2 linked regions of the Arabidopsis thaliana genome follow. The protein of the gene in region 1 interacts with the protein of each later gene in a pairwise test. Each region holds a gene or a part of one and is shown in the gene's direction. Other genes may lie near its edges.

Evidence for each region. The genes of interacting proteins can lie anywhere in the genome.
Region 2: the proteins of AT5G47530 (region 1) and AT3G26370 interact in a protein complementation assay, tested with the Arabidopsis thaliana proteins (one large-scale study listed by BioGRID).

The regions. Positions count from the first base shown.
Region 1 is NC_003076.8:19,279,754-19,283,899, forward strand, and holds AT5G47530 (Auxin-responsive family protein), read left to right. Parts: upstream 1-1,620; 5' UTR 1,621-1,717; coding exon 1,718-2,344; intron 2,345-2,473; coding exon 2,474-2,728; intron 2,729-2,811; coding exon 2,812-3,117; 3' UTR 3,118-3,308; downstream 3,309-4,146. Other genes in the region: AT5G47540 (Mo25 family protein), read right to left, coding at 3,512-3,588, 3,682-3,784, 3,874-3,918, 3,996-4,094. UniProt on the Arabidopsis thaliana protein: May act as a catecholamine-responsive trans-membrane electron transporter.
Region 2 is NC_003074.8:9,655,121-9,660,822, forward strand, and holds AT3G26370 (O-fucosyltransferase family protein), read left to right. Parts: upstream 1-1,559; 5' UTR 1,560-1,765; coding exon 1,766-2,074; intron 2,075-2,249; coding exon 2,250-2,300; intron 2,301-2,392; coding exon 2,393-2,483; intron 2,484-2,653; coding exon 2,654-2,730; intron 2,731-2,854; coding exon 2,855-2,943; intron 2,944-3,036; coding exon 3,037-3,156; intron 3,157-3,331; coding exon 3,332-3,448; intron 3,449-3,544; coding exon 3,545-3,688; intron 3,689-3,776; coding exon 3,777-3,900; coding exon of another isoform or gene 3,901-3,963; exon of another isoform or gene 3,964-3,988; coding exon 3,989-4,180; intron 4,181-4,261; coding exon 4,262-4,621; 3' UTR 4,622-4,825; downstream 4,826-5,702. Other genes in the region: AT3G26360 (Ribosomal protein S21 family protein), read right to left, coding at 843-852, 958-1,253; AT3G26380 (Melibiase family protein), read left to right, coding at 5,020-5,099, 5,195-5,348, 5,433-5,690. UniProt on the Arabidopsis thaliana protein: Glycosyltransferase involved in the biosynthesis of pectic type-II arabinogalactans.

The DNA.
Region 1 (4,146 bases):
GAGTTTTTCCATTTCGGTTCGGATTGGTAATAATGGGCTCAGCAAAAATAAAACATCTTGGGCCCTTATGGACCCTCTTACCCTATTTTACCATAGGCTCTACTTTTTTTTACCACCTTTGTTTTAGTTTCACTTAAAATTTTAGTTAAGGAAAAAAAAGTTACCGATTATGTACACTCTACTGTTATTTATTAGACACAACAAAACTTTCAAATATGATGGATTTTCCATCCTATTTTATTTATAAAAGAAAATATTTATATTTCTAACATCAACAAACTCTACCCAAATCAGATTATCCTTCTGAAACTATGCAATTTGTATTGTTTTTCAGGAAACTAGTGATTTTTTGAATAATTGTAATACTTTTCATTCATCAAAAAAACATATTATATCTTTCCTTTTTTTCCATCAAAAACATATTATATCTAAATATCTCATTTTGGGTTGTTTTTTGATAATTAACACTTAAGCCCATATAAAAGAGTCTAGTTCAAACTGAGCCCAGCTACACCAAAGAATCTAGTGGGGGACATGTGGCAGGTAGTAATTTGAGCGTTGACCAAGAAAGGACATTATTATACATCCACCTGGTTAGAGCATGCTTATAGGTGATATTCTCAAAGTATCATTAAAAAAATTTTAGTATTATTTATAATGTTTGTTTAATAGATAAATATTTTTTTTCTTACTTTTAATAAATGCTACCAATCAGGAGATGTCACGTAGATGATACTGATATCAAGAAAATCACTGGAATGATACTAATCAAACTCATTCTAATTGTTTGGTTAATAAAAAAATAATTTTTACACTGATGATATTCTAAAAATATCACTCATGTACATGGTCTTAACCGTTGAAATGTTGGTCGCGGCCTATATATAGAAGAACATAACTCTAAAAATAGCTAAACCCAACCACTTCCCTTGGATTGGAATCTCTCATAAACAGTTTGTTGGTCTGGTCCGCTCCAGTCCATACTCATAAGGTGGTAGATGTTTACTTAGGGTACATCATACATGCACAACGTTAGTAGTTGCAGGCATAGACGTGTTTGCCCTTTATTACGCGAAAACCACTACTCCCTTCGCTAGTCTACTTTCGTCAATTGAACCACTAAACCCAATGAAACCTAATATTTTAGTGTGCTCAATAATTTATCATCATCCCAATTCCCAAGCGTACCAAGATTATAATCTAACTTAACGCGCAATGTCATGACAAAACCTATATACAATGAAAAAGATTTTTCATGACAAACAAAGAAAAAATAAACACGAGAAATGAGTTCTCGTAATAAAGTTGGTGTGAACTGGTTTTTGAACGTGAAGATGACCCCTTCATATTTTTATTTCTTGGTTTTTGCTTGAGAGGGTTAAAGACTCTTAAGGAAGAAATACATTACACGTCAAACCTTTTTGGGAAAACAATGAACGCTTCATTTATAATGTTTCTATTTTTTACTCTTAGGTAAAACATTGCAATTGATAGATGAACAAGAACAAAAGCAGAGGATTAAAAGAAAGATTAAACTATGAAAAAAGGACACGTGTGAAGAGAATTAGAGATTCTGTATTAAGACAGATTAACTAACAAACCAAACCCTACTTGTTCCACTTTCTATTCATACTTAATCTCATTCTCCTCTCTTCCCCTTCATACTTAAATCTTATCATTCATCCATCTTTTAATCATTACTCGAGATTCTGTTTCCATGGCCATATCCTCAAATCTTCTCCTTTGTCTCTCTCTTTTCATTTTCATCATCACCAAATCCGCCTTGGCTCAGAAATGTTCCAACTACAAATTCTCCACCAACCGTCTCTTTGAGTCTTGCAACGACCTACCTGTTCTTGATTCCTTCCTCCACTACACTTACGATTCTTCTTCAGGCAATCTCCAAATCGCGTATCGCCACACAAAGCTCACCCCCGGGAAATGGGTGGCATGGGCCGTGAATCCCACATCTACTGGCATGGTCGGAGCTCAAGCCATTGTGGCTTATCCACAATCAGACGGCACCGTTAGGGCTTATACGTCACCCATCAGTAGCTACCAAACGAGTCTCCTAGAAGCTGAGCTGAGTTTCAACGTCTCTCAGTTGTCTGCCACTTACCAAAACAACGAGATGGTCATCTACGCAATTCTGAATCTTCCACTTGCGAATGGTGGAATCATTAACACTGTGTGGCAAGATGGGTCACTGTCAGGGAACAATCCTCTGCCTCATCCAACTTCTGGCAACAATGTTCGTTCTGTTTCTACTCTTAACCTTGTCTCTGGTGCATCTGGATCCACCTCTACCGGAGCAGGAGGAGCTTCCAAGCTACGCAAACGCAACGTGAGTCCATGGTTTTATCAATTTCTTCATTTCATGTTTTTTAGGAATCTCACATATGAAATGAGATTTATCAATCCCATCATTGTTAGTTGGTTTTATGAAACTTATCACTCCTAATCATTATTGCAGATACATGGAATATTGAACGGTGTGAGCTGGGGTATAATGATGCCAATAGGAGCAATCATTGCTCGCTACTTGAAAGTCTCAAAATCAGCAGATCCTGCTTGGTTCTACCTTCATGTTTTCTGCCAGTCTTCTGCTTACATCATTGGTGTTGCCGGTTGGGCGACCGGTCTCAAACTGGGCAACGAATCAGCCGGGATTCAGTTTACCTTTCACCGTGCTGTTGGGATCGCTCTCTTCTGCCTCGCAACAATTCAGGTAGGTTTTAGTTAACAGTACAGAGAGTATTACACTTGTCATGAATATGTTGCAATTACTAAGTTGCTTGTTTCACACGTTAGGTGTTTGCAATGTTTTTGAGACCCAAACCAGAGCACAAGTACAGAGTCTACTGGAACATTTATCACCACACTGTAGGCTATTCAGTGATCATTCTTGCGGTGGTAAACGTTTTTAAAGGACTAGACATCCTGAGCCCTGAGAAGCAGTGGAGAAACGCTTACACCGCCATAATCGTAGTACTAGGTATAGTCGCGGTTGTGCTCGAAGGGTTTACTTGGTATGTAGTCATAAAGAGAGGGAAAGCAGAGGCATCTGCGAAAACAAGTCAACGAGTAGGCAACGATGGTCGGTCTCTATACGTGTAGACTCTGTAAAGATTAGAGTAAAATGTTCTGGTTTATTTGGTCATTATGGGCTTGTGGTTGTTAATTTTTGTTTGTTTTCGAGATTAAGTTAATACATTTGATGTTTAATAGTTGTTGAAGTTGAAAGACTCTTGTGCTCTTTTACAACATTCATGATGTGAGCTTTTGACAAACCATTTTATTTCATCGACAGTGAAGTAGTGTACATATGAATACATATATCGAATAGATATCTCGTATGTGTATGTGTGTGTGTGTGTGTGTGTGTGTGTGTGTGTGTGGTGAGAAAGTGAGAGGAAGATTGGTTACCTAATGTAAAAAAACAACAAGATGCTTCAAAAATGTCTTTTCGAGTGTTTTAAAAGGGAAGGAAGGATGAATTGCATTAGTTGGTTCAAGCAAGATCTCGAGGTTCAAGGGCTGCGATTTCTCTCAAAACCTGACTTTTGTCTGCTTCAAACCTCTCATCCTCTGTCAACCAAATGAACCAAACAATGCTTTAATAAGGTTAAGGAGCAGAAGGATCGGATACAAGCGTTTCACTTAACAAGATTAGTTTCATACCTTTGTCTGGTTTCAAATCAGCCAACAATCTCAGAAGCTTGCTTCTGTTGGCCACCAGAATGTTGACTATATCCGCAGGCTTGTTTTGGTTCGCTGCAAACAGCTGCACAACAGTGACGATAATCTCAGTACAATCACGTTGGACTGACAAGTGACAATCATCATTATGTTACATCTCGTTAATGTAGGTACCTTAAAGACATGGAATGCTTCTATTTGGATACTCTTGCTTGACTCCTGTAATTCAAGCGATTGAGTTTATTTCCCAAACTATTATAATCAAGAACAAAAAAACGGAGAGTAAAGCATCGTACTCTTAGAAGATTCATGAGAATCCTCAAGTTATCCCTCGAGCTCACATATTTCGTCATCACAGCTGAATTTGATCGATCCAATAATATATCACCCAACAACTGTTTAACATTTACACCATACAGTACATAAGATTGATCAGCCAGTACCATC
Region 2 (5,702 bases), on another chromosome or scaffold:
CTTACAGTAACAGTCATGAATATGTCAATCTTTCTACTTCAGCTCACTCCAGGGGAAAGATGTTGATTCTCAGAGCAACTTACGAAAACTTGTCGAATATGTCAGTAAACTATGAACATGTTAAGATATGTCTCCCATAGATCAAGAAGGCCGCAGATTAGTTAGCGCAAATCTGATGCGAAACACGTTGCTTCTGCAGGTAGATACTCTGTTCTCTGCTCAATTTCTGCAGCATCAAACATGAAACCAACTCTGCAATGCCGGTTACTGCAAACGTTGACAAAGACAACTACCAATCGAGCCTGACCAAACAGATACTAGTAAAAAAGCTGGAAGCAAACTGAAAACTAAACCCATACAAAAGGTATTTTCCACGATCTTCGGTGCAATTGTTCTTCCTATATCTCTTATCCCCATTCTTTGGCATGGCATGGTATATAGTAACATGAATATACATAAAATGAAAGTGTAAACGCCTGGAAAGAGCTAACCTACGCTTTACACGCGAAGAAAGCAGAACAATCTCAGAGTAATCATGGCCGGAACAAGAAACACAATTCAAGCACAGAGACCCACAGAACACAGTCATACAGAGTGCAGGAGAAGCAACGCACTTGCCCTGAAACAACTTTCAATACATGTACTCCTAAGATCTGATGTTCTTTCTCAAGATCATTGAAAACTTACGAAAGAGAAGCCATAGAGTAAACAACTAATCAAATCCAAAATTCCAATTCCACATTGATTCAACTCATCAAAAGTTCAAAATGTAAAACTGTGTTATATCACACACAGATACTAGTACTGATCAACATAGCAGCACTCTTGCTTCACCTCAGCTCTCATAAACCTCTGCAAAGAATAACAATAAGAAATACGCAAGATCTTACTAAACTAAACAACACCATTAAAACCCTAAAAAATGTGAAGCTTTTGAGAAAAATCAGAAAACATTACCTGACTTTCTTGATGAGGATTGATTGGAGTTTTCGAGCAAAGTCAATGGATTTGATTCTGCGTTCAAGATTCTTCCTAGCGAGAACCTTCTTCTCCGAATTCTTAATGTGATGAGTCTGAGTCCCTTTGATCAGCCTCTCCATTCCACTCGATTGCATCTTCTTCTGCAAAATCGTCAGTGCCTTGTCTAAATCATTGGAGAACACCTTCACTCTTATCCCTCGCTCTTGCTGCAACTGCTGGTTTAGACTCGGACGAGTCACCAACCCCGTAACTCGCTTCGCTATCGTGTTCATCTCTTTTACTTGTTTTCTGAAAAAGTATGTTTCTGAAAACGTAAATGAGATTGACGAGAGACAGTGATAGGATCTGAATTCGACTTACCGGTCGGAATCTCGCCGGAGAGAATCAAAGAGCCAATTTGAGTGATGATGGAGAATGTCTAGGTTAAAAAAGAGGCGATGGAGGAAATGAGATAAAAACCAGAGAATTTACTAATATAGGGGTGGTTATGTAAGTTTTATGAGATATAGGGATGTTTTTGTAAATATCCTTAAATCTAATCTTCTGTTTGATTCAGAGAGTATTGACTTTAAAGAAGAACATTCAAGCCTTTCAAAAAAAAAAAGCTTCTTTAATTTCTCTCTCTCTCTGTGGAGTGTTCGAATCTCCAAGCTCTCTCTCAAATGGCAGCGTCCACATAGTAGAGCTGAAGAAGCACTGTATCTATCTACAGAGAAAGTGAAGAGGAAGAAAAGGAAGAGAGGATATAGAAATTAAGCTGGCGACTTTTAGTCCGAGGCGAGCAATGGCAGAGTTACGGCACTCGAGCTCTCTCGGTAGCCGATCTTCTTCTTCTCCGTTACGTGCCGCCGGAGATGAGGATTCTTCATCGCCTCATGTACACGATCACTCTCCTAACGGCGGAGACGACGAAGATGGTCGCCCACGTCATCCTTCTAGAGATCGAGACCGTCCGATCTGGTTTCACTCTTTGTTTCCTTTCTTCGGTGATGATCCTAGGGTTTCTCCTCAGAAGAATAAAATCTCGCTTCTATTGATTTTGATTCTCGCTATTGCTAGCTTGATCTCAGTTTATGGGATTATTAATCACTTGGTAAGTCTCTTCCTTCGATCTAGGAATTGAGATCTTCAAGGCTCTATGTTCTAACTGTGGAATCGATTTGGAAAAGTATTTAGCTTTGTTTTGAGTAAAGGGGTTTGTTTATTTAGGTGGATTTGGATTGACATTGTTCTCAGACTAAGATTGCTTCTATGTCTATCTTCTGCAGAATGCTCCTTATTTATGTAAAAAAGATGGGATTGTGCTAAACTGTCCTCATGTAAGTGTTTGAAAACTTTGGTTATGTGTTTTGTTGAATGCATAAGCTTTGAATCCTGTAAATTTAATTGTGTGTTGGTTTGCATTTGTAAGGTAAAAGAGTCACCTTCTCCTTGGGAGAATCCTTTATCTGCAACAACTTCTTGGAAGCCTTGTGCTGAGCGGCGGATTGGTGGAATCTCAGGTATTGAAGGGCTAGAGCATTGTCATTTTCATTGTCATGTGTTATTTTTTTTTTTTATTTTTTTTTTTTCGTCGAAACACATTGTCATGTGTTATTGATCTGTCTTTTCGTGAAAGTTCAAGTCTTTTTCCTTGGTTAGCTTATTAGATTGTGTCAACTGTTTTTTTCAGATCTTCCTCCTGAGAATGAAACAAATGGCTATGTATTCATTCATGCTGAAGGTGGTTTGAATCAGCAGCGAATTGCTGTATGTATCTTCCAACTTTTATCTCTTTTTCTTCTCGCCATTATCCAATCATGGATCAATGTCTAAATGGCTGTTGTTCTTCTTGCCATCGTCCAATCTTGAATTCATGCCCTTTTGTTTCCAGATCTGCAACGCAGTAGCTGTTGCCAAGATTATGAATGCAACACTGATTCTACCAGTACTGAAGCAGGACCAAATATGGAAAGACACAACGTAAAATCATATTCAGATATTGATTTCATTTCATCTTGAATTACTTCTCTATTTTCTTTTTGGTTTACTGAGCTTGTTAACTTTCTTTTGCAGAAAATTTGAAGACATTTTTGATGTAGATCATTTCATTGATTACTTGAAGGATGATGTCCGAATTGTTCGAGACATACCTGACTGGTTCACTGACAAAGCAGAGCTATTCTCTAGTATAAGGTTTGCTTGTCAACTCATTATTTGTTGATGATGTACTTGTTGGACGATTTCAAAAGTTAGCTTGTGGAATTATGGCGTCACTGGGTGCTCCTTGTGTATATCTCTGATTTAAAAATCGATCTGTATTTTTTAATCAGATATGATGTTGACCAAGTTATTTATTTATCTTCTGCAGAAGAACAGTCAAAAACATTCCCAAATATGCAGCAGCCCAATTTTATATTGACAATGTTTTACCTCGGATAAAGGAGAAGAAGATAATGGCCTTGAAGCCTTTTGTCGATCGACTTGGGTATAACCAATATTCCTATAGTTTAGTGCTCAGATTTTGGAAATCGTCTTATAAACAATGAATGATTTATTCTTGTGATGCTGGAAATTTTTTCAGGTATGACAATGTACCTCAAGAAATCAACAGATTACGATGCCGTGTAAATTATCATGCTCTCAAATTTCTTCCAGAGATAGAGCAGATGGCTGATTCACTTGTTTCTAGAATGAGAAATCGCACTGGAAATCCAAATCCATATATGTATGCCATATCAGAGATTCGACTTTGTTATAACTTAGGACCATATGCATTATATCAACTTAAAACTATACCCATGTCTCTTGTATAGGGCTCTTCATCTTAGATTCGAGAAAGGAATGGTTGGTCTATCGTTCTGTGATTTTGTGGGGACAAGGGAAGAGAAAGTTAAAATGGCAGAATACAGACAAAAGGAATGGCCTCGGCGTTTCAAGGTGACATTTATAAGCAGTTGTCAACTTCTTTTGGTGGCTAAACAACCTCAACCGCTACCTTAATGAAATTTCTTGACATATATTGCAGAATGGTTCCCATCTCTGGCAGCTCGCCTTGCAGAAGCGCAAAGAAGGTCGATGCCCTCTTGAGCCAGGAGAAGTTGCTGTGATCCTACGTGCAATGGGCTATCCAAAAGAAACACAAATCTATGTTGCATCTGGTCAAGTCTATGGCGGTCAAAACCGTATGGCTCCACTAAGAAACATGTTCCCAAATTTGGTAAGCACAACACCGGACTCTTATAATTCTTTGATGAATCAGCACAAACTTGTCTCTCACATTAACTGTCCTTTGAATCAGGTAACAAAGGAGGATTTAGCAGGCAAAGAGGAACTAACAACGTTTAGAAAACACGTTACAAGTCTTGCGGCTCTAGATTTCTTGGTGTGCTTGAAATCAGATGTATTTGTGATGACACACGGTGGAAACTTTGCAAAACTGATCATCGGAGCGCGTAGATATATGGGGCATCGCCAGAAATCAATCAAACCGGATAAAGGGTTGATGTCGAAATCATTTGGGGATCCTTACATGGGATGGGCAACTTTTGTGGAAGATGTAGTTGTAACCCATCAAACACGAACCGGTTTACCTGAAGAAACTTTCCCTAACTATGATCTTTGGGAAAATCCTCTCACTCCATGCATGTGTAAAGCTTGATGATGATGCTTTTGTTTGGTCTTGGATTTTGTCTGATGAGGAGCAACAAACTATAGAGATTCGTAGTTTTCTTCTTCTTCTTCTTCTTTTTTGACCTTTCAAATCTTTGAAGTCTTCATTTACCATCTTTGTAATCATTTTGATATTATGTAAAGTTCCTAGTGATGAAAAAAAAGTTTCTTTTTTATATTAAATTTGATCAAATTGATGCACTAAACTTTAATTAAAAGAAAATTAGCTCAACGGTTACTAATCCAATTCTTAATTTTTTGTCACGCTCTCTAATAGTACCCGCCATTAACACAACCATTGCGTGTTGTCTTCTCTCTTACTCTCAGGTTCTCAACAACAAAAGAGGAAAACAAAATCAGAAGCTATCGTAATCAGTTCTCATCTCTATGACCGGACTATCCGTAGAGAAAACCGGGTCGACCCGGTCCACTGTCTTCTTCATCATCTTTAATCTATCCATTTTTAGGTACTCCGCTTCACTGGGTTTTTGAATTTGATTTTGGTTTTTGAGTGGGTGGTGTTTGAGTGATCGATCAATCACAAAAGTTTCGTCTTTTTCAGTTTATCGATTGAAGCAAGGTCGAGGCAACAACATGCTAGCTTTCCTCCAAGAGGATGGAATTCGTACGATTCCTTTTGTTGGACTATCTCTGAAGCTGAGTTCTTGCAGAGTGCTGAAATTGTTTCTAAGCGTCTTCTTCCTCATGGTTATCAGGTAATTGTGAGTTTCTTTATCCTTTAGAATGTAAAAGTTTAGGTTTTTAATTGCTTGTGTTTGTGTGTGTTGATTTGGATACAGTATGTTGTGGTGGATTACCTTTGGTATAGAAAGAAAGTTGAAGGAGCTTATGTGGATTCTCTTGGGTTTGATGTGATTGATGAATGGGGAAGATTGCATCCTGATCCAGGTAGATGGCCATCTTCTAGAGGCGGTAAAGGTTTCACTGAAGTTGCTGAGAAAGTTCATAGAATGGGTTTGAAGTTTGGGATTCATGTTATGGGAGGAATCAGCACACAAGCTTATAACGCAAATAGTCTCGTTATGGATAGTGTTAAGGTATTGAGTTGA